5 linked regions of the Ovis aries genome follow. The protein of the gene in region 1 binds, or shares a complex with, the protein of each later gene. Links are inferred from orthologs where the notes say so. Each region holds a gene or a part of one and is shown on either strand. Other genes may lie near its edges.

Region 1 (4,052 bases):
GTTACTATATATCTCCAAATGATACTCTTTAAAAAAAATGCATAGTATTCATCACACCTGAAAAATCAACAGTAATTCATATCATCAAATATGCAGTCAGTACTTAAATTTCTCCAATTGTCTCACATTTTTTTCTTTTTTTCAGTTGATTTATTTAAATTAGGATTTAAACAAGGTCCACACTCCATCTCATAAGACTTTTAACCCTTAATGTTTCCTTCTCGCCCTTGAATTTATTTATTTATTTTTGCCATGCCTTGGCTTGAAGGATCTTAGTTCCCTGACCAGGGATTGAACCCAGGCCCCCAGCAGTGAAAACATGGAGTCCTAACCATTAGATTGCCAGGGAATTCCTTGAATTTATCTTTTGAAGAAATGAGGCTGTTGATCCTATAGTTTCCTACAACAGCTACAGTTTCTTGAGTAATTTACTCTGCTGTGCTGAGGATTACTGGTATATCCACTTAATTCTTACACCAACCCTGAGATGTAATAGTCCTTTTCATGATGGTAAGCATTAAGTACATACATTGAAATTTGAGGAGATTTTGATAACTTAGCCTGAACAGTGGCAGTGGCAGGATTCAGGTCCAGAGGCTAGGTTTTTAAACACTACACCAATTGGTTTCCCTGAAGAGCCTTCCAATAGAAGCAGCCTCGGCTGGAGGATTGAGGTCGACTCCTTAGGTTGGCATTGAGCACCTTCCCAACCTTATCCCCACATCTCTGCTGCACAGGGTGTCTTCTCAGAATACCCTTTGTTCTCCAGTCAGCCTCTCCAGGGCCTTCTCAGCCTTCAAGCCACCACAAAGCTTCATGCCATGAAGGCTTTCTTGACCACACCAGCCCCAGAGGTCTGTCCCGCACACACTGCCCTGCTTGTTGGGTTGTTCAGGCACATGCTGTCTTGGGAGCTTTCTTGTTTTTTGTGTTATTGCTCCTGCTAGTTTTGAGTTCGCTTTATAGGTCTGGGAATGTAAAGTCCACCCTCAGGCCACAGCCTTGGGCCCTGTGAATGCTCTTGGTGCAATTAGCACTACTGTCACTGCGCTTCTCTACTTCCCATCCAGTGCCTTGAACAAGTTTCAGTATGTGGTTTCGTCCACAATATTTGTTGAATAAATTTGCAGATAACTTGGGTATGTATGTAGGAGGGGCAGACGGGGTTACTGAAGAAAGGAGACTACGGGGCTCTGGGCTGGGGAGAAAGGTGAAGGAAGGAAGTGGACAGAGGAAAAAGGGCTCCAACTTGCTCTTCTTCTTGCAGCCCCGTGTTTCCCGGGCTGTTTGAATTCTGCTCCCGTTACACAGGCGCATCTCTGCAAGGAGCAACCCAGCTGAACAACAAGGTAGCTGTACCCCAAGTCCTGTTTCCCCCTTCCTGTGGGTCCCTGAATCCAAGGCCTTAACCATGATCCTGAGCTCCCAGCTTTGGGGGTGGGCAGGAAAAGGACTATGAGTTGGGCGTTTGTCTTTCAGATCTGTGATATTGCCATTAACTGGGCTGGTGGTCTGCACCACGCCAAGAAGTTTGAGGTGAGTGAGGAGGTAATGGGGGAGACAGCAGCTCTGCTAGGGTAGGAGGTCAGGATGGCAGTCAGGGGGCGGCTGGGTGGAGGAATTGTTCCTCTTTGTAATACCACTATACTATCTTACCATAGGCTTCTGGCTTCTGCTATGTTAATGACATTGTGATTGGCATCCTGGAGCTGCTCAAGTAAGTAGCCCGGGAGGAGATGGGGCCACTTGCGAGGCTCTTGGCTGAGGTCTGAGACTGCCCTGGCCCTGACCCTGACCCTGACCTCCAGCCCCACACTAGCTTCTCCCAAGTTCTTGATGCTTTTCTCAGGCTGCCTCTTCCTGTGCTCTGCTGCAGATTCCCCGCTGCCTGCTCACATTTCAGCCTTCTCTGCACATCCCTCTCCTGTCCCTGCCTCCAGGCTGGAGCCCCAGGGTTGCCCTTAGGGAACTGGTGGTATTAGGTTTCAGGTGACTTGGGCCAAAGTAGACTCTTCATAATTTCTGGCCTTGTGTTTGGGAGGAGTGGGTTGGGGGCTTTTCCTCCTGGGGTTCACCTCTGCCTCAGACGCTGGCTTTGCCTTCACCCCAGGTACCACCCTCGGGTGCTCTACATTGATATTGACATCCACCATGGCGACGGGGTTCAGGAAGCCTTCTACCTCACTGACCGAGTCATGACAGTATCTTTCCACAAATACGGAAACTACTTCTTCCCTGGCACAGGTATGGAAATAGGAATGCCTGTCCCCTTCATACTCCTCAGCTCTTACCATGACTGCCTCCTCCGCAAGCTCAGGTCTCAATTCAGGTGGCCCCTCCTTGGAGAAACCTTCCCTGATCACCCTGTTACCCTGTCACATCACTCTGCTTTTTTCTTTTCAAGCACTGGTTGCTGTTTGAATTTATTGTGGGGTTTTGTTTTGTTTACTGTCTCCCACCTAATCATGCCTACCTCCCAAGAATATGAGCTTGGTGGGATTTCATTTATTTCGTTAGTTCTTTTTCCTGCTGTATCCCCATACCTAGTTCACAGCTTGGCTCATAGTAGGCCCTCCAGGAGTATCTGTTGAATGAATGCAAGCTGCAAGAGACTTAGTGGTTTGAGGGAGTGTGTGGCGGACATACACAGATGGAGTGAGAGGCCCTCAGAGTACATGGTGGGGTTGAAGCAGCTGGCGCCCCCAACCCCTCTCCCCCACAGGTGACATGTATGAAGTTGGAGCAGAGAGTGGCCGCTACTACTGCCTCAACGTACCCCTGCGGGACGGCATTGATGACCAGAGTACGTACTAAAGTCTTCTCCCTGCTCACTAGGCTCCTTCTCTCTCTCCCTCCTTGAGTTAACCTCTTCTGCCTGGTATTGTCTACCGTTGGGCCAGGTGTCCTTCAGGATGAATGGCCTTCAGAGGGACCATGAACTCCCTGGAAATTGTATGCAACATATTGTGTGTATGTGCATTTTTCTGGGAAAAAGGTCATTAGCTTCCATCAGTCCCTCCAGAAGTCTCATGAACTTCCCCACCTAGAAGTTTGGAACCAATAGTGGTCCCTTTGGGTTGCCCCTTTCCTGGGCTACACGCTCTCTGAACCCCCTTTTTCCTTTTGTTCCCTGTCTCCCCATCCCCTTGGGGTGCCAGGTGCCCATCTTTGGCCCTCTCCCAGGTTACAAGCACCTTTTCCAGCCAGTTATCAACCAGGTGGTGGACTTCTACCAACCCACGTGCATTGTGCTCCAGGTAATACTGTCCGTGCTTCCTTAGGCACTCAGGCTTACGGGAAGAGAGCAGGAAAGAGGAGAATCCCTAGGCTGGTGGGGGAAGGGAAGTGAAGGACATCGGTGACATTCTGAGTAGTTCTCTCACTGTAGCCACCTGGGGTTTTGATTTTTGCAGTGTGGAGCTGACTCTCTGGGCTGTGATCGATTGGGCTGCTTCAACCTCAGCATTCGAGGACACGGGTGAGAACTGCTCTCCTTCCACTCTTCCAGGTTTTCAAGTGGCCTTGGGCTTCAATACATGGAACGGGTAGCTGGGAAACAGCCCTCACCTCCTTTTGGGACTGAAAAGTAGCTGCATGTTGTACTTTGAACCAGAAATGTCATCTTGAGCAGTGTTCCCCAGTTGGCAACATTCACATTAGGTTTTTGTTAAGCACCTGTTGTGTTCCAGGCATTGTACTAGGAGATGGGGAAGCAGTCAGGGAACTCCCATGGAGTTTACAGTTCAGCCTAGGAAACAGGCAAAACTATAAGTAAGCAAACAAGATAGGTAGATTGTTATAAATTCTATGGAAGAAAAAGATAGAAAGCTAAGATATGGGATAACAGTGGAGAAACTACTTTAGATACCATGATTTGGAAAGAATTTTCCAAAATTCTGAGCTGAGACCTGAAGCCTAAAAGGAGTGAGCCATAAGAAGAACAGAGAGAGGTCCATCCCAAGCGGTGAGAAGAGTGCATGCAGACACGCTGAGACAGGGCAGAGGGGTATCGTGGAGGAGATGAAGTAAAACCAGTCAGGTGGAACACAGAG
Region 2 (4,052 bases), on another chromosome or scaffold:
TGAGCAATTGGGAGCTGTGTGATGCATGTACTAGAAATGACACACTGGACAGCCTCCCAGGCTGAATCTCTGGCCAGGCCTATCGGGCTGTCTGTAGTTTGCACTATTTGATAGAACATCAGATACATCAGAATATTAGATCCTAATATTGAGTTAGATCCTAATGTTGAGTTTACTTAAAAAAAAAAAAAGTTGGCCACCTCTTGTGGCATGCGGAATCTTAGTATCTGAACCAGGCATCAAACCTGTATCACCTGCAGTGGTAGCACAGTGTCTTAACCACTGGACTGCCAGGGAAGTTCCTGAGTTTAAACCAAGTTTTTATTAGTTTAAAGTTTAAAATGTAGAGGGAAAACAGGACTTGACTGGACCCCTTTGAATCTTATAATACATTTAGGAAACAGTTTACCTGCCTATCTCTTCTAGGAGACTAAGTGAGAGAGAGAGGATTGGAGAATTGGGAGCTCCTGAAGTGTGGGGACTTTCTCCAAAGAATCCAGAACCAGAGTAAGTGATTAAAAATGCATCTTTTATATGGCAGAAACCAACACAATATTGTAAAGCAATTATCCTTCAATTAATAAAAATAAAATTTAAATATATATATTTTTTAAATGCAACATTTGTTTAAATCCAGAGTCTATGGTCAAAATTTTTGTTAAGTGAAGAACTTTAACTACAGCTCTTTTTTTCCCTCTTTCTTGTGATTTATGCTATTCTGTGCCTTGAGTTTTAAAAACATTAAACATACCTTAGTATTAAAACATGCTCCTTGTGGATTTTAGCATGCTAATTGTTCTCTTTAAATTGTAATTCATGGGATGCTAATTTCCTATTCATAGAAGGGTTCAGTGTTGAAACAAATACATTTATAGTATTTTGAATTATTTTTTCTCAGTCCAGTAACTGATTAAATGTCAGACATTAACATTACAAAAAGTTTTTAAAAATGAATATACTGAGTCTGTTTAGTTTCCTGTATTCAGTATTATTAAAGGCCTAATGCTTTTTCCTTTTCCTTATTTTTTTTTCCTCTGTGTTGTTGTTCAGTCATGTCCAACTCTTTGCGACCCTATGGACTGCGGCTTTTCTCTCTTTGGTGCCATTCAGAAGCTGCATCTACCCTCTGCTCTATTTCTGTGTTTTCTTTAGAGTTGAGACAAGGTGCTTGACAGGTAAACTTGTAATTTGTGACAGGGTGATAAAGCATTATTATCTGAAAGTTCTTTTTTCTTCTTAAAAAATTGTTATTTTTTCCCACCCCCTATAATTTTTTGAGATATATTTGACATACAATATTAGTTTCAGGCATGTTATAACATGATTCAATATTTGTATATATTGCAAAATAATCACCATAGTAAGTCTAGTTAGCATCCATCACCATATATAGTTATAAAAAGTTTTTTCTTGTGATGAGAACTTCTAAGATTTACTTTCTTATCAACTGTCAGATATGCAGTACAGCATTATTAACTGCAGTCGCCATGCTATACATCACATCCCCATGACTTCCTTATTTTATAACTGGAGTTTGTGTTTTACCCACGCCCTGCCCCCACCTTCTGCACTCTGGCAACCATCACTCTGTTCTCTGTATCTGTGGTGTGGTGGTTTTTTCTTTTTTAGATTTCACATATAAGTGAGATCATGTCTTATCTTTCTCTGTTTGACATTTCATTTAGCAAATGCCCTCACAGGCTGTCCATGTTGTTGAAAATGGCAAGCTTCATTCTTTTTTAAAGATAAATAATATTCTGCTGTGGGGTATGCTTGTGTGTTTCTCATAGTTCCTTTATCCATTCATACATTCATGGATATTTGGTTGTTTTAACATTTTGGCTATTATAAGTAATGCTGCAGTGAGCATGAGAGTCCAGATATCTCTTTGAGATATTGATTTCAGTTCCATCAGATATATATCCAGAAATGAGATTGTTAGGTGATATGGAAGTTCAATTTTTAATTTCTTGAAGAACCTCCATTCTGGATTCTATAATAGCTGTACCATTTTATATTCTCACTCTGTTATATTATAACAGTGTAAGTGTTCCCTCTTTTCCATATTCTCACCAACAGTTGTTATCTTTTGTCTTTTTGATAACGTTCATCCAAACAGGTGTGAAGTGATATCTCATTGTGGTCTTGATTTGCATTTCCCCAGTGATTAATGATGTTGAACATCTCTTCATTACCTATTGGCCATCTGTGTGTCTTCTTTGAAAAAATCTCTATTCAGATCCTCTGCCTATGTGTAAAATCACATCATTTTTTGGGTTTTGCGTGTTTTTTTTTTTTACTATTAATCTCTTCTCGGATATGATTTGCAAATGGTGTCTCTCATTCAGTCCATGCTGCAGTCCCCTGGGGTTGCAAAGAGTCAGACACAACTGAGCGACTGAACAACAACAACATTCAGTAGGTTGCCTTTAACACTCTTCTGATTCTTATTACTGTTTTCTTTAAATTCAGCTCTGATGAACACACACCAGTAGAGGATGAAGAGCCAAAGAAAAGCACCAGTTCAGCTTCTACTTCAGAAGGTATTTTTTTAATTGAGAGCTTTTTATTGAGAAATTTTTAAAAATACATTTATAAATAGTTGAACATTACACTTTACTTGTATTCAAATTGCCTGTCATCATTTCCTTTTCAGTATTTCAAATACAATAAAATTGATACTCAGAAATACTTGTGATACTTGTATATGTATGGCTGAGTCCCTTCACTGTTCACCTGAAACTATCACAGCATTGTCAATCGGCTATACCCCAGTACAAAATAAGTTTTTTTTTAAAAATTTAAAAAGAAATACTTCTTTAGAAGTAATTTTTATTTGTATTTTATGTAGAAGAAAAGAAGAAGAAGAAGAAGTCTAGTCATTCAAAAGAAAGATCCAAGAAAAGGAGGAAGAAAAAATCATCTAAAAGAAAACACAAGAAGTATTCTGATGATAGTGACAGCGACTCTGATTCTGACACAGACTCCAGTGGTAAGAAAGCCAATGTCATTCTGCCCGCCTTACTTCAAAACTAGTTTTACTTCTTAAAGTTTATTTTAGTTTTATATATTTTTGGCTGTGCTGGATCTTCGTTCCTACGTGGGGGCTTTCTCTAGTTGTGGCAAGTGGAGGCTATTGTTCGTTGCGGTACACAGGCTTCTCTTGTTGTGGAGCTCAGGCTCTAGAGCGTGCAGGCTCAGTGGTTGTGGCGCATGGACTTAGCTGTTCCCTGGCGCATGGGATTTTCCTGGACCAGGGATTGAACCTTTTTCCCTTGCATTGGCAGGCGGATTCTTAACCACTGGACCACCAAGGAAGTCCAAAGCTTATGCTAGAAAAAGGTTCTTTAAAATAATAATAACCAAGAGTTTTGAACATGCACTGACTTTGTGTCAGGCACCCTGCTAAGTGCCTGATAGGCATTATTGCTGTTTAATCCACACAGTCACTGTCAGACACATCATAGAGTAGGGGAGACAGAGGACCTGAGCAGATTATAAGTACCGCTCATACCCAAGGTCACACAGTTGGGATTCAGAGCTAAGCGGTGTGACTCCAGAGTGGTTGTGTGTAGCTGCACAAGGCGTGTGGCACCGAACCAAGTTGGGGTCAGTCTCTGAGACGTGTGGTGCCAAACCAGGCCATAGGGGGCTGCATCAGCCCAGTGGAGTAGCTCTTTGGAGAGATTCTCACACTCAGCGGTCAGCTTTGTGTGATTTTCAGAGGTACAACATAGGGGACCCTTCAGGCCAGCAGTTGATTACTGGAGGACACTTCCTGTGTGGCTGCATCACAACAAAGCCGTCTTTTGGTGTCCTCCCATGGCTGGTGATTGACAGAGGGTGCCTCCTCTGGGGACACATTTCTATGGATTTCTCATCACAGGTACCCTGTCACTCTCCTGCAGGGTCCTGTGTGGCTTGAGAGTGACTTTCGTCTCCACATATTGCATGTCCTTTCTCCTGACTCTGCCATGTAGTACAGAATCCGGCTGCCTACAGTGCCAGTCTCCTTTCATGTGGCTTGGCCTACTCACTGCATGGATGGACGT
Region 3 (4,696 bases), on another chromosome or scaffold:
CCTTCCTCAGCTCAACCTGCCATGAGCACAGGACCACCTTGTACAGAAAGCTCCATGCTGGGCAGATAGGGGAGAACTTGCCACTGTCTCTCACACACTGCACACATACACAGGTTCTGGTCACCCAGAAGACATTTACCCACATGTGGCAGGTTAATTTTTAAAAAAGGAAATTTGGGCTACACCACACAACAGGTAGGATCTTAGTTCCCCAACCACCGGTTGAAACTTGCACCCTCTGCCTTCGATGAACAGAGTCTTAACCACTGGACCACCAGGAAAGTCCCAACACACAGCAAATTGAACAAAGGCCATGCTGACACAGGAAGGGGTTGGATTTCTGGCCTATCTCAATCAGCAGTAAGGCCCAATAGAAGACTTTGGGACCAGACCTATTGTGTGTTTCCTAGCTAGAGACCCCTGGGTAGGTCATTCCCATTCTGGCCTCAGTTTCCCCATGTGTGCACTTCAGATAGTCAGCAGATGTTGATGTTCAGTTGCCCAGTTGAGTCCGACTCTTTGCTTCGCCATGGACTGCAGCATGCCCGGCCACCCTGTCCCTCACAAGTTCACGTCTATTGCATCCATGATGCTATCCAGCCAGCTATCTTATCCTCTAACACCCTCTCCTTCTGCCCTCAGTCTTTCCCAGCATCAGGGACTTTTCCAATGAGTCAGCTGTTCACATCAGATGACCAAAATACTGGAGCCTCAGCTTCAGCATCAGTCCTCCCAACAAGTATTCAGGGTTGATTTCCCTTAAGATTGACTGGTTTGCTCTCCTTGCTGCCCAAGTAACTCTCAGGAGTCTTCTCCAACACCACCGTTCGAAGCCATCAATTCTTTGCTGCTCTGCCTTCTTCACAGTTCAGCTCTCACAACCAAACGTGACCACTGGGCAGGCGGTCTTCATCAGATGGATCAGTGTTAGGAGGAAGGAAGGGGCAGGGGAGGAGGAGCACACCTACACAGCATCTCTAGGGAGAGTCCCAGGGTGTGTCTATTGCAGAGCCCACCAATGGCCTCCCCACCGGTCTATATGCCCAGGCCCCCCAGAAAGGCCTCTGTCAACCAGCCTGTCCCCAAACGCCGTCCCAGCCACCCACTATCATGGCACAGAGGGGTAAGAGGCAGATACACCGCTGGGAGGTCACACCCACTGGAATCTGGGAAGACTTCCCGGAGAGGGACGTTGGTACTGGCCTTGGAAGGAAGGACAGTAGGAGGTGAGGGAAGAGAACTCCAGGCAGAGGGGACAGCGTGAACAAAGGCATAGATGTGTGACAGTGCAAGGGAGTGCACCAGTTACTGGCCCTGGCACTATGCGAATTAAGACGTTGAGGTGAATTAACAGTTACTGAGCCACGTACTGTTCTAGCTCCTAGAGATACACCACTAAACAAAGAGCTCTTCTCAAGAGAGGTGGTGTGGTAGTGTAGTTATAAGCTTGGGGTTGGGAGCCACTCTACCTAGGGTTGAATTACTACCTGTGTGATCTTAGGCAAACTACTTAACCTCTCTGTGCCTTAGCTTCCTCATGTGTAAAATAGATGAGTAACAGGTAACCTCATAGGTTTGTGTGATGTAAACTATGGTGATGCATTGAAGGTGCCTAGAACTGTGCCTGGCTCATTAAGTGCTAGCTGATGGTATTCCTAAAAGGCTGGACCACCCCCATCTCTGTCCCAGTGCCTAGCGTGCAAAACCCCATAGCCGGCGGGAACGGGCAGCAGCGCCCCCTCCTGGCCACAGAGAGAAAGAAGGGCGTCCTCCGGGTCCTCCCCGCCCTCTTCCTGCAGGCTTACTGAGAAGCCTAAGGAATTACTCCACCAGCCCAGGTTCACAGAGCGCTGCTCCCGAGGTCGGCTCTGCGCACGCACTTCACCAGGCAGGTAAATTAGATCGTCTCATCTAATTTTCAAACAGCTCTCTGAGGCAGACACAGTTACTGCTTCCCTTTCATCAGGGGCGTAACTGAGGCTCCCGGAAGGTCGAGTCCCTTGTTCCAAGCCATTCGGCGAGGGAGCGGCGGGGCGCGAAGGTAGGCGAGTATGACTGTCCCCAGCCTCGGCTCGGTTAGCCGGGCAGCCCGCCCCAATCACTGCGGCGTGTGCACGCGGGTGTGCGCGCCCGTTCTGCGCGCGTGTGCGCGCTCCGGGACCAGTCCCGGGGGCCAGGAGCGCGGACAAGGGCTCGAGAAAGGAGGGGTGGCCCCCGAACTCGCGGGGCGCGAGGGCGGGGCATGTGCCTAGCCCTTGCCCCGCCCACCGGCCCCACCCGCCGACTTCGGTGGGGAGGAGGAGGCGGCGGCGCTGGGCTCCGGGACTCGGAGGCGGCTAAGAGCGCGGAGCCGGAGCTGGACGCCGCCGCCGCCGCCACCGCCACCGCCACCTGCGCGGCAGTCATCAAGGTAGGGCGGCCCCGGGCCGCCGGCCATACCTTCCCGGTTTGTGCGATGTGTGCGCGCTGCGCCTCCGGGCTGCAGCGCATGGGGAGGGATGCTGGGGCTCGGCGCACCGCGGGGGACCCGGCGGGGCGCGGGGGACCTGGCTTCCAGCCCCTCCGCGTGACCTTGCACAAAGCACTGCTCCTCTCCAGGCCTCAGTTTCCCCATCGGAATAGCCGGCGCAGTGGTGGCACGTTCCTCGCCTGACTGTTAGAGTAGGGGCCGCCTCAGGCTCCAGCCTCCCGACGGCGCGGGGCCCGCATGGGCACTGTCTGCGCAGCCCACCCGGAGTGAGCGCAGCTCATGCTGGGTGTGGCTGGCCGTGCCCGTCAGCCTCCTTCCCGCCCCCCGCTAGCGGCCTGGGTGCCTCGCGGGACCCGTGTGGTACTCGACCCTCTCCTGGCTGAGAAACCTGCTGGACCTCAGCTTCCGGGCACGAGAAATAGGCAGGGGGAGCGGACACCCCCCAGGTCCCTGTGGAGCCGGCCTGGGCATGCAGGGTGGAGCCATCAGAGTCTGCCAGCCAAGTCTACCTCGCGGTCTGGGGCGGCGGGAGCCCTGGGCTGGAGGTAGTGGGGGCCTTGGCCCCAGACTTGCCTAGACCAGACCTGTGCAAGCACCTGGATTTAGGGAATGGTGCGGAACCTGCCCTCCCCATACCCTTCCCTTCCTTTCCCCACCAGGTGCTGACGCTCAGCTCGGTGTCCCAGCCTGCTGGGATAGGGCTAGGTCCATGCATGGACCCCAGAGGGGCTCCAGCACCGGGAGAGCCATGTCTGGGTGGGGTTGGGTCTGGGACAGAGCAGGTGTCGGAGGGACTGTGTGTGGCTCCAGACTCTCTGTGTAAAGAAGAATCTTGGCATTTGGCCCAGCCCCTTGGTCAGATCCCCTCTGGAAGGTCTTACTGCCCAGTTGCACACCCCTTATTATGGGAATCTCACTAGCTGCAAACAGAGCTAGGATCTGCTAGTCCTGCTCTGAGCACACAGACAACATCTGACTCCTCCCTGCCTCCCAACCTGGGGTAGTCATCTGGACCCTTAAGCCAGTTCACCTCAGGGATAAACAGCCCCACATCCAACATTGTTTCTCCTGTTGGAGTTGAAGAGAGCCAAGGCGGGACCAGGAAGCTGAGGTGTCTGCCCCAGAGGGGGCAGTAGTCAGCCTGGGGCTTGTTCACAACCCACTTCCTTAGGATTTACCTGCAGGTGAGCAGCTGCCTTAGGTCTGGAGTGAGAGGAGCCAGAGGAGCCTCTCTCCGGACCTTATCCTCTCCTGTCACCCGCCCTGATTGAGGGAGCAGGTTCAGAGCATCAGGTCTGGGCCTTCTGGTCTCCCTTGTCCTCCCACGAGACCTGTCCCTCACCTGGGAGCTTTCTTACAGCCAAAAAAAGGGCTGCTGGGGCAGGGGGTGCCCGCTGGGTCCTCAGAGGTGTGTGAGCAGAGGTTGGCCAAGCACTTGCTGAGGGTGAGCTACCTTTGACTGCAAGTCTGGGACTCTCAGGCTGAAGTAGCGTGACCACGACCTTACCTTCTGGCCATGGAGGAGCTGCACGGGACTTGAGGCTAGACCACAGATGAGTGTTATTATTCCCTCGTAAAAGCAGACTAAGTATCTGTCCTGTCACTCAAGTGTAGCTCCCTCGCACAGGCTTAAGTGCTCCCTGTGTCTCCTGTCGTCTCTACCTGCGTATAATCCGGGCTTTGTTTTCCTGTTCCACTAGTCCAAGCTGTTTGGACCTTGATTTAGAGGTATGACAGATCCTGGGTATTAAACAGTCATCCTAGGCCAATAATTTTAAAATGCACCATGGAATTATGAAATATCTAAGCTGAAAGGAATCTTAAAAAATCATCTCATTCAACCCCGTCATTTTACAGATAGATATCCTCTGTCCCTGGAGGGGATGTGACTTGTCAAAGATCACACAGCAGACAAGCAACCAAGCCCAGAGATCTTTATTCCAGGCCTTGTGTGTATGTCTGAAAACACATACCATATAGTAAATGAAAGTACTCTATTTATTCCAAAATTAGCAGAAATAAATGTAAAAGGATAAAACTCTATGCTGGTAAAGCTATAGGGATTCTCCAGTAGCATTTAATTTTACAGGGCAATCTGGCAGCTTGTTCCAAAAGTCCATGAAAATGGTCCTAACTTCCGTTTGCCCCTAGCCTTCCACTTTGAGGACTTTCCCCTAAGGAAGTAATTATAGGAGAGATGAGTGTAATGCTGTTATTTACAAGAAG
Region 4 (4,052 bases), on another chromosome or scaffold:
AATTGGGTTTTTGCTGTGGTGTGGATATATATCACCTTTGCTCGGAAACTGATGTGTAGTGGATATATAGCTTAATCGGTGAATGAGCATAGTTGACATGTCAGAATTCACATCTCAATATGAGTTTACATTTTTCTTGTTTTATAACTAAAAGCAAAAACTAGCACCTAGCCCCTGTGTATATCACATACCAGAATTAAGGGGTGAGAAAAGCTTTTTGAGATAAAGAAAAATATAATAATCTTCAAAATTAATGAAGCTTGAGCTGTATACTTCATCAAATTAGCTCTACTAAAAATAATTTACCTTTGATTTTACAATGCCACTGCCTACAAACGTGATAACCTTCATAGATAGGATAATCATGAAGGAAAACTGCTTTTCCTCTTCCCATGAACAGATTAAATGTAACCTTGGTAACCTGGTGGGGTTTTTTCCCTTAAATACCAGCTATGCTTTTAGTTAGGTTTTCTCAAGTCTGGACTCCTCTGTAAGCATTGCTGATAAAAATGCTTTTCTTCACACTTGCATTTGCGAGAGTACTTTGCAAGTGTGTGCGTGCGTGCATGTGCACACCCCTGCTCACTCAGTCATGTGTGAGGACCACAGCCCACCAGCCTCCTCTGTGGAATTTTCCAGGCGAGAATACTGGAGTGCGTTACCATTGCCTACTCCAGGGATTGAACCCGCGTCTCTGCATCTCCTGCATGGGCAGGCAGATTATTTACCACTGTGCCACCTGGCACCCTTGCATGCACATACATTATGCTTATAAAATGAATAAAGAGCAAAAAACTTCTTTGGGAGCAGAGTGTGGTACATACAAGGAAATGAAAGAAGGCCAGTGGCTACTCTCAGCTACTGATTTGCAGTTCAAGAGATATGTTTGAATTAGAAAGTGTTAGAGAGTTTTGTTGTTGTTGTTCCAAGAATAATAAACGGTCATAGAATTTTAAAGCAGAAGCTATAAGGATGGATAATGTCTAGTGAAGCCATACTTTGAGAAGAAGGAACAGCAGATAAATGAGAAGATTATGCTTCGCTTGCATAGTGCCTTTGAGTCATGCAAGTGGAAGTGCCAGGTTGGTCTGAGGCTCAGAGAAGAACTCAAAGTTTGATGTAACCATTTGGGAATCCTCAATAGATGGATGGTCATTCAAAGCCATGGGCGTGGACAAAATTGTGTAGGTAAAAAGTATCAAGTAAAAGAAGAAGAAAGCTTTAAAAGTCTTAAACTCTGTAATATTTACCTGCTTTAAGAAGAATCAGGTTCCAAGAGAAAACCTAGCAGGAATGACTTCAGTGGAAATAGTATGTATGTGTAGAGAAGAATATTTCAAGGAGGTGTTGAAGAGAATGGTCAGTAGTATCAGTGCTATTGAAAGCTGGCATGAAATACGTTTTAGAAACTTATCTTTTGCACATATTTACATGGAGTTATGTATACCTAGGATATAAAACTGGAGAAGGCAATGGCACCCCACTCCAGTACTCTTGCCTGGAAAATCCCATGGGCAGAGGAGCCTGGTAGGCTTCAGTCCATGGGGTTGCTAAGAGTCGGACACGACTGAGCAACTTCACTTTCATCTTTCACTTCCATGCATTGGAGAAGGAAATGGCAACCCACTCCATTGTTCTTGCCTGGAGAATCCCTGGGACGGGGGAACCTGGTGGGCTGCCGTCTGTGGGGTTGCACAGAGTCAGACACAACTGAAGCGACTTAGCAGAATACAGAACATTATGATACTGTTTCGTTATCTCAGTTTCATTGCAGAAGTGTGAAATCCCAGCTGATTTTTGTTTCTTTGTTGGCACTTGTGTTTGGTGTATGTTTGTTTGGGGCAAGATTTTCCATCTTGTCTTTATTGAGTGATTTTGTCAGAAATACTGTTGATACAGGTTTCTCTTAACTTTTGCTCAAAAACAGTACGAGTTTTTAATCTGTATTGCATAATAAACATGTTTTCAACTTGAGAAAAGTGTTTTCTGCTTACCATTTTAACTTTAATTATTGCTTTTTTAATGGTTTTTTTCTATATGGATCATTTAAAATTTCTAAATCTTATTATGGTGAGAACAGATGAGATCTACCTTTTAACAGATTTTAAAATGTACTATACAGTATTGTTATCTAAACACAGTGTTGTATGGCAGATCTCCTCTAGGGTTGAAATTTTATACTTTTTGAATAGCAGCCCACCTCCACCACAACTCCTTACAACCACCATTCTTTTTTTCTTTTCCATTATTGTTTATTATAGGATATTGAGTATGATTTCTGTGCTATATTCTATATAGGACCTTACTGTTTATCCCCGCCATTCTTTTTTCTTGCTTTTATGAGTTTGATTCTTAGATACCTCATGTAAATGGAATCATGCAATGTTTGTTTTTAAAATGTACCCATGTTGTCCTGTTGAATACTGCAGGATTTCCTTATACGTTCAGTCTGAATGTGCTCCACTGCGTGCACGCGCATCTTCTTTTCCCACTCACCCATTGTTGGACTCTTAGGCTGTTTCCATATTTTGGCTTTTCTGAAGAATGCTGCAGTGAACATGGGAGTACAGATACCACCTCAAGAGCCTGGTTTCATTTTATATGTTTTATATATATGTAGCCAGATGTGGAATTGCTGGTTCATATGGGGATAGTTGCTAAAATTTGAGGGAGAACCTCCATACTGGTTTTCATCATGGCTGCACCATTTTGTATTCATTTATCAGCAGTTTATAAGGGTTCCAAGTTCTCTATATTCTTGACAAAATTTTTAAAATTTATGGTAGCCATCTAACAGTTGTGAAGTGATATCTCATTGTAGTTTTGATTTGCTTTCCCCTGATTATCCGTGCCATTGAGCATCTCTTCATATAACCTGTTGGCCATTTGTATGTCGATTTGGAAGGAATGTCAAGTCCTTTGTCCATTTTAAAATTAGTATTTTGCTTTTGAGTTGTAGGATTTCCTTACATATTTTGAAAGTTATTGGATATATGGGTTGCAGTATTTTCTCTCATTCCATAGGTTGTTGCCTTTTTACTTTATTGATTGTTTTCTTTGCTGTGCAGAAACGTTGTAATTGTATGTAGTCCCTCTTGCCTTTATTTTTCGTGCTTTTATTGCCTATCCTTTGGTGTCAACATGAATCATACTGTATTATCTGTATATTCCTTATCAACTTTCCCTTCCCCATTGCCATATAGTTCCTAATTCTGAATTCTAAGAGGAACTTATAATGTATATCTTTATTTTTAAAGGATAGCATAAAAACGAATGCCTTAAATATTGTAGCATCACTACCAAGGAAATTACTGAATGTTTATATTTGTACCATCTGAAGCTTTCAAAAATAATCTTAGAACTACAATTTATTGAATCCTGAAGCCTCACAATACTGATTATTAGAATGAACTTGAAGCTAATTTGTCATTTTTAAAAAACAAATATTAAATAAATTCTACTACATTTTAATTTCTTTGCATATATTCTCTTGATCTCTATAATTATTGTTATGGTTATGCCACATATTTTGGACTGGCTAGATCATATTATAAATGTATCCTTTGTATGGAAAGCTAATTTACACACACTTTTTGTTTAGATATGGAGTATGAAACAAGACAACTGTGTCCATGATTTGCAAGCACATAATAAAGAAATTTATACTATCAAATGGAGTCCAACAGGGCCAGGGACAAGCAATCCAAATGCCAACCTTATGTTAGCAAGGTAACATTTCTGTTTTGCTTTTCCTTTATGAGTCTTTTACAAAAAGAAAATTCTTACATTATGGCAGAAAATTAGGAAAATTCAGTAAATTGGGAATGTGTCCTGCAAGGAGTATTTTTTAAATGGGAACATTTAGACATTTTATTATTTCAGCTCATAATGGATTTTGTTTATGGAGATGTCAAATATTTACTGATAATATCAAATATTGATTAAAACCTATGTAACCGAGGCACGACACAATAAAGTTTTTTCAGCATCAAAATAAATAATAAGTGTATATTCAAAGTAATGTTTCGTGAATCAATATAAAGGAGTTATTT
Region 5 (4,604 bases), on another chromosome or scaffold:
CTATCACAAAGAACAAAGAAGGGAACCCTGGTCACATGGAAGTTATGTCCTCTCTTGCTGTAGAATGTTTATCCATAGTTATTTAGTATTTTTGAAGGTGACAAGTAAGTACTATGGAAGCGGAAAGTAGAGCAGAGTGAAGTGCATCAGGAGTGTGGTTGGAGCACACAAGATCGGGTAGTCCAGGTAGATATCACTAGGATGAATCTGAGCAAAGACTTGGGCAGGACAAAGTCAGTAGAACAGGCATTGGGAGGAAGACCATTTCAGGTAGAGATGAGGCTGCAGCCAAGCCCCTGTAAGGAAGGAGTGACTACTAGGAACAGCAGGGCCTGTTGCTAATTGAGGTGGTTGCAGGTGCCAAGGGGCAGAGGTACTGGGGCCAGAGGCCTCACTGCCCTATTTCTGCTTGTTACCTGACAGATTCCGGGACCCCAAATCCCAGCGGACGCACCAGGCCCAGGTGGCGTTCCAGGTGTGTGTGCGCCCTGGCTCCTACACCCCGGGACCCCCTTCTGTGGCCCTCAGAGAGCCTCCCGATCCTCACTTCAGCCCAGCTGAACTTGAGTGGGTGACCAAGGAGAAAGGGGCCACGCTCCTCTATGCCCTGCTGGTACGGGTGGAGTGAGGGGCGAGGCCGCACCACTACAAGCACAGTTGGGCCTCGGCCCGTGGACTCGGAATGATGACTGCCTCCAGGTCATTCCAGCGCTCCGCGACATGCATGGTGCTCAGCCTGGCAGATGCACAGGAGCGTGTGGGCAGGCTCCTAGACTAGCTGGGAAGCGGAGCTTGGCTCCGTGCCCCGGCCGGAAGGGGACGTCCCTCCCTCCGCGGTGAGGGCGCAGTGGGGAGCCCGGCCGCAGACCCCGGGAAACCCTCTCCATGCACTGATCTGGGGAGCATGACTCCCCGCGACTCCTCCCCCATACACTTAATTTATTTCCGTTTCTGTTCCCTGGTTACTGTGAATCCCAGAGGCGTCTCCTCGTGCCCCAACGAAGCTGCTGTTCCGGCCCGGGCGGGAGTGGGGAAGGCGGGGGCCGGGGCTCGGGCCTCTGTACAGTTGTTACTGACTCTGATTTATAAGGAGCCAATAAACGAAGTCTAAGAGCAGCCGCCTCGGCCCCTGTTTCGCGTGCCTCTCGTCCACGGGAGGAGCCCCGGCCCCGCCAACTTCGGGGGCTCCGCCCGCTGGGCGGGCCGGGTCGGGGAGTCTCGTGGGGCACATAGCGGGGGTTTGGACACCACGAGCACCCGTCGCCGGCACTTCCGTCTGCGCCGCTCCGCCCAACCAGCGAGCCCGCGGAGGCCCGACTCCGGAAGGATTCGGCCCAGCGGCCGGATGTGACGCCGCGGTCCTGCAGCTCGGGAGGCCACAGAGAAAGCGACGAGAAGGCGAGTAGGGTGGGGCGGGCGCCCGGGTGGCGGGCAGGGGCGGGAGCACGGAGACCGAGACCCAGGCCCGCGCACGCGGAAGAGCCGCGCTGTGGGCCCGGCCGGGCGGCGGGCACGTGACCGGGGCGGCGGGCGGCGGCTTCCGCCTGGACGCGGCCCGCTCCCACTGAGCTGCCGCCTCCCCGCAGGCCCGGCCAGAGGTCTGGCAGCCAGCGACAGAGCCGGGCGCTCACGGCCCGAGCGTCCCCAGCAGCACCATGCCTGCGCTTCTGGAGCGTCCGAAGCTGTCCAACGCCATGGCCAGGGCGTTGCACCGACACATCATGATGGAGCGGGAGCGCAAGCGGCAGGGTGAGCCGGGCTCAAAGCGGGAGGACACACGGTTCGGGCGCTCCGCGGTCCACGGTGACCCCCACCCACGGGCAGACCAGTGCACGACGGCCGAAGCCAGAGGGACAGCTAGCCCCGTGGTGATGGTGGTGGGAGTTAAAAAAGGCCACGCCCGGAGCTGGGAAGGACCTTGGAGAGCACCTAATAAACCTCCCCGTTCCAGCCCCCTCACAGTGATGAAGCCTATTCCAGAGCACTGGGATAACCAGTTTTTGCTGTTCTTCAGTTCTTAATGTTCTAATATTTTAACACCCTGCCGCTTGCCCATTCTGCCTCTTATTTCAGAGGAGGAAGAAGTGGACAAGATGATGGAACAGAAGATGAAGGAAGAGCAGGAGAGAAGGAAGAAAAAGGAGATGGAAGAGAGAATGTCACTAGAGGAGACCAAGGAACAAGTAAGCAGTCCCTCCATCTCTCCCACTTCTTTCTTCTCTTGGCTCTCCTGCTTTCATCTTCTCTCCCCTCCCCAGATCCTGAAGTTGCAGGAGAAGCTTTTAGCTCTACAGGAAGAGAAGCATCAACTTTTCCTGCAGCTCAAGAAAGTTTTACATGAGGAAGAAAAACGGAGGCGAAAAGAGCAGAGGTGAGATTAAAGAACTAAAAATAAAATCGAGGCCAAAGTGTAACAGGGATCAGGTAACAAAAGATCAGTGTTTAATGGCAAATGGGAAGGGAAGTGTGTGGGGGTGGAGACAGGACAGACTTGTCTTTGACCCGCTTTCCTTTCGCTCCAGTGACCTGACCACTCTGACATCAGCAGCATACCAGCAAGGCCTGACCGTTCACACCGGAACTCACCTCCTCAGCATGCAGGGTGAGGATTAAGAAACTACTGGTCAGAATGGGCCCTCCTGGGAGTTGCAACATCATGAAGCACCCCTCTCCCTCTCTAGGGAGCCCTGGAGGACACAATCGCCCAGGCACCCTCATGGCAGCTGACAGAGCCAAACAGATGTTTGGACCCCAAGTACTTACGGTAAGAGTAGGAAGATTGGGTGTCTAGGCTGAATTTTTTTTTCCTACTTCCACCCAGACCCTAGCATCTTCACCAGCCAGCACTCAAGTCTTGAGTGTGTCTACATCTGAATAGGGGGAATGGGGGTGCTGTCACTTGAATTTCTGCTTCATGGAGTTTACAGGCAGTGAGTTTTCATCCTTCCTTCTTAGACCCGGCACTACGTGGGCTCAGCAGCTGCTTTCGCAGGGACCCCGGAGCATGGGCAATTCCAAGGTAGCCCGGGTGGCGCCTATGGAGCTGCTCAACCCCCACCTCACTATGGACCCACGCAGCCTGCCTACAGTCCTAGTCAGCAGCTCAGAGGTGAGGTGGGAAGAGGAATTTTCCTCAAGACCCAAAGGGAGGAGTGTTGAACAGGCTACAAGGAAGTTCTAATGGCCTCCTGCCTTCCTCAGCACCTTCCGCGTTTCCTGCAGTGCAGTACTTGTCTCAGCCACAGCCACAGCCCTATGCCGTGCACAGCCACTTTCAGCCCACCCAGACAGGTGATGGGAACACCCCATGCTGGGGCCCAGTTCCATGCATCCTACCTTCCTCCTTTCCCCCTTCTCCATTCACTTCACACTCCTTCCCCGCCTAGGGTTTCTCCAGCCTGGTGGTGCCCTGTCCTTACAAAAGCAGATGGAACACGCTAACCAGCAGACTGGCTTCTCTGACTCAGTGAGTAGAACCTTGCAAAGTCAAGGGCTGCCTATGCTAAGGGGAACCTCAGGCTGCCTCAGTTGCTGACACTGTTCTCTGCAGTCCTCCCTGCGTCCCATGCATCCCCAAGCTCTGCATCCTGCCCCTGGACTCCTGGCTTCACCCCAGCTTCCTGTGCAGATGCAACCAGCAGGAAAGGTAAGGGTGGTGATCGGGTCCCTCAGAATCCCTGCATTGCACCGTTTTCCTTTCCCCTCCCTGGGGTGGCTCTCTGGTGTGGAGTAGACAGGAGGGTGTGCACACTGACAAGGCCCTCCTTTCATCACCACTGCCAGTCGGGCTTTGCAACCACCAGCCAGCCTGGCCCTCGGCTCCCCTTCATCCAGCACAGCCAGAATCCACGATTCTACCACAAGTGACCATCAGATTTATCTTCAGCCTTGACCCCAACCCCTGCCCTTGGGGAGGATCCCCGGTATCCCAGTACCAGGCCAATAAAATCTACCTGCCACTGCCCCTGGCTGCTGTCTGTGTTGCCTCCCACTGGACTGTTTAAGAGGGTGGGCAGTGGCTGGCAGGAATCACAGGGCGACAGCAGGGTTGGTTGTAATGAACTCAGCAGCAGAGTTCATTCAACCTGTACTCTTCAGATTTCCAAATAAATACCCATTTAATTCAAAAAAGCAGTTGAGTTGGGGACTTCATATTAAACTTGTAGTTTTATTCAGGTTTGATTTTAACAAATGTGTCGGGGAGAGAGCCCGCAGGAAAGGATGAAGCCCATGGGAGCAGGGCCCTCCCAGATGCCTGAGGAGGGGGCATGTCCCCTCCCCTCTCCTCCTCTTCCCTCCCCATCTTTAGATGGGGAGAGACATAGGCAGGGGAGGGGGCTGGTCCCCAGTCTGTGGGGGTGGTGCTTGGGATAGAGGGCTATGGAGGAAATAAGGGGTCAGATTAAGTAAGAGTTGGGGAAGGGCACAAGGACCATTTGCCAGAATCCACAGCTTTCTGATTCCAGATTGAATTGAATTAAAAAAAAAAAAACTAAACCACAAGCAGCACCCACCCCGTCTCCCCCACCAGGGTTGTAGTGCGAGGGGAGAAGAGGAGGGCAGCTTCACCAAGGCCATGGTGCACTCACTCCTGGCCAAGGGAG

What was found.
Region 2: HDAC3 (region 1) and NKAP share a complex: the UniProt entries of both Homo sapiens proteins name them as parts of the notch corepressor complex. The link is inferred for Ovis aries from reciprocal best matches to the Homo sapiens genes HDAC3 and NKAP.
Region 3: HDAC3 (region 1) and CORO2A share a complex: the UniProt entries of both Homo sapiens proteins name them as parts of the N-Cor repressor complex. The link is inferred for Ovis aries from reciprocal best matches to the Homo sapiens genes HDAC3 and CORO2A.
Region 4: HDAC3 (region 1) and TBL1XR1 share a complex: the UniProt entries of both Homo sapiens proteins name them as parts of the N-Cor repressor complex. The link is inferred for Ovis aries from reciprocal best matches to the Homo sapiens genes HDAC3 and TBL1XR1.
Region 5: HDAC3 (region 1) and GPS2 share a complex: the UniProt entries of both Homo sapiens proteins name them as parts of the N-Cor repressor complex. The link is inferred for Ovis aries from reciprocal best matches to the Homo sapiens genes HDAC3 and GPS2.

What each region holds. Positions count from the first base shown.
Region 1 is NC_056058.1:50,379,840-50,383,891, reverse strand, and holds part of HDAC3 (histone deacetylase 3), read left to right. Parts: intron 1-1,267; coding exon 1,268-1,349; intron 1,350-1,479; coding exon 1,480-1,536; intron 1,537-1,661; coding exon 1,662-1,717; intron 1,718-2,110; coding exon 2,111-2,244; intron 2,245-2,722; coding exon 2,723-2,803; intron 2,804-3,183; coding exon 3,184-3,257; intron 3,258-3,413; coding exon 3,414-3,478; intron 3,479-4,052. UniProt on the Homo sapiens protein: Histone deacetylase that catalyzes the deacetylation of lysine residues on the N-terminal part of the core histones (H2A, H2B, H3 and H4), and some other non-histone substrates.
Region 2 is NC_056080.1:114,592,892-114,596,943, forward strand, and holds part of NKAP (NF-kappa-B-activating protein), read left to right. Parts: intron 1-426; coding exon 427-507; intron 508-2,472; coding exon 2,473-2,543; intron 2,544-2,851; coding exon 2,852-2,992; intron 2,993-4,052. UniProt on the Homo sapiens protein: Acts as a transcriptional repressor. Plays a role as a transcriptional corepressor of the Notch-mediated signaling required for T-cell development. Also involved in the TNF and IL-1 induced NF-kappa-B activation.
Region 3 is NC_056055.1:49,564,449-49,569,144, forward strand, and holds the start of CORO2A (coronin-2A), read left to right. Parts: upstream 1-1,787; 5' UTR 1,788-2,041; intron 2,042-2,321; exon of another isoform or gene 2,322-2,410; intron 2,411-4,696.
Region 4 is NC_056054.1:210,758,752-210,762,803, forward strand, and holds part of TBL1XR1 (F-box-like/WD repeat-containing protein TBL1XR1), read left to right. Parts: intron 1-3,601; coding exon 3,602-3,729; intron 3,730-4,052. UniProt on the Homo sapiens protein: F-box-like protein involved in the recruitment of the ubiquitin/19S proteasome complex to nuclear receptor-regulated transcription units. Plays an essential role in transcription activation mediated by nuclear receptors.
Region 5 is NC_056064.1:26,909,948-26,914,551, reverse strand, and holds GPS2 (G protein pathway suppressor 2), read left to right. Parts: upstream 1-1,343; 5' UTR 1,344-1,398; intron 1,399-1,586; 5' UTR 1,587-1,655; coding exon 1,656-1,749; intron 1,750-2,073; coding exon 2,074-2,183; intron 2,184-2,258; coding exon 2,259-2,371; intron 2,372-2,522; coding exon 2,523-2,602; intron 2,603-2,681; coding exon 2,682-2,764; intron 2,765-2,955; coding exon 2,956-3,109; intron 3,110-3,201; coding exon 3,202-3,291; intron 3,292-3,386; coding exon 3,387-3,466; intron 3,467-3,550; coding exon 3,551-3,733; 3' UTR 3,734-3,783; coding exon of another isoform or gene 3,784-3,867; 3' UTR 3,868-3,962; downstream 3,963-4,604. Other genes in the region: NEURL4 (neuralized-like protein 4), read left to right, coding at 424-628. UniProt on the Homo sapiens protein: Key regulator of inflammation, lipid metabolism and mitochondrion homeostasis that acts by inhibiting the activity of the ubiquitin-conjugating enzyme UBE2N/Ubc13, thereby inhibiting 'Lys-63'-linked ubiquitination.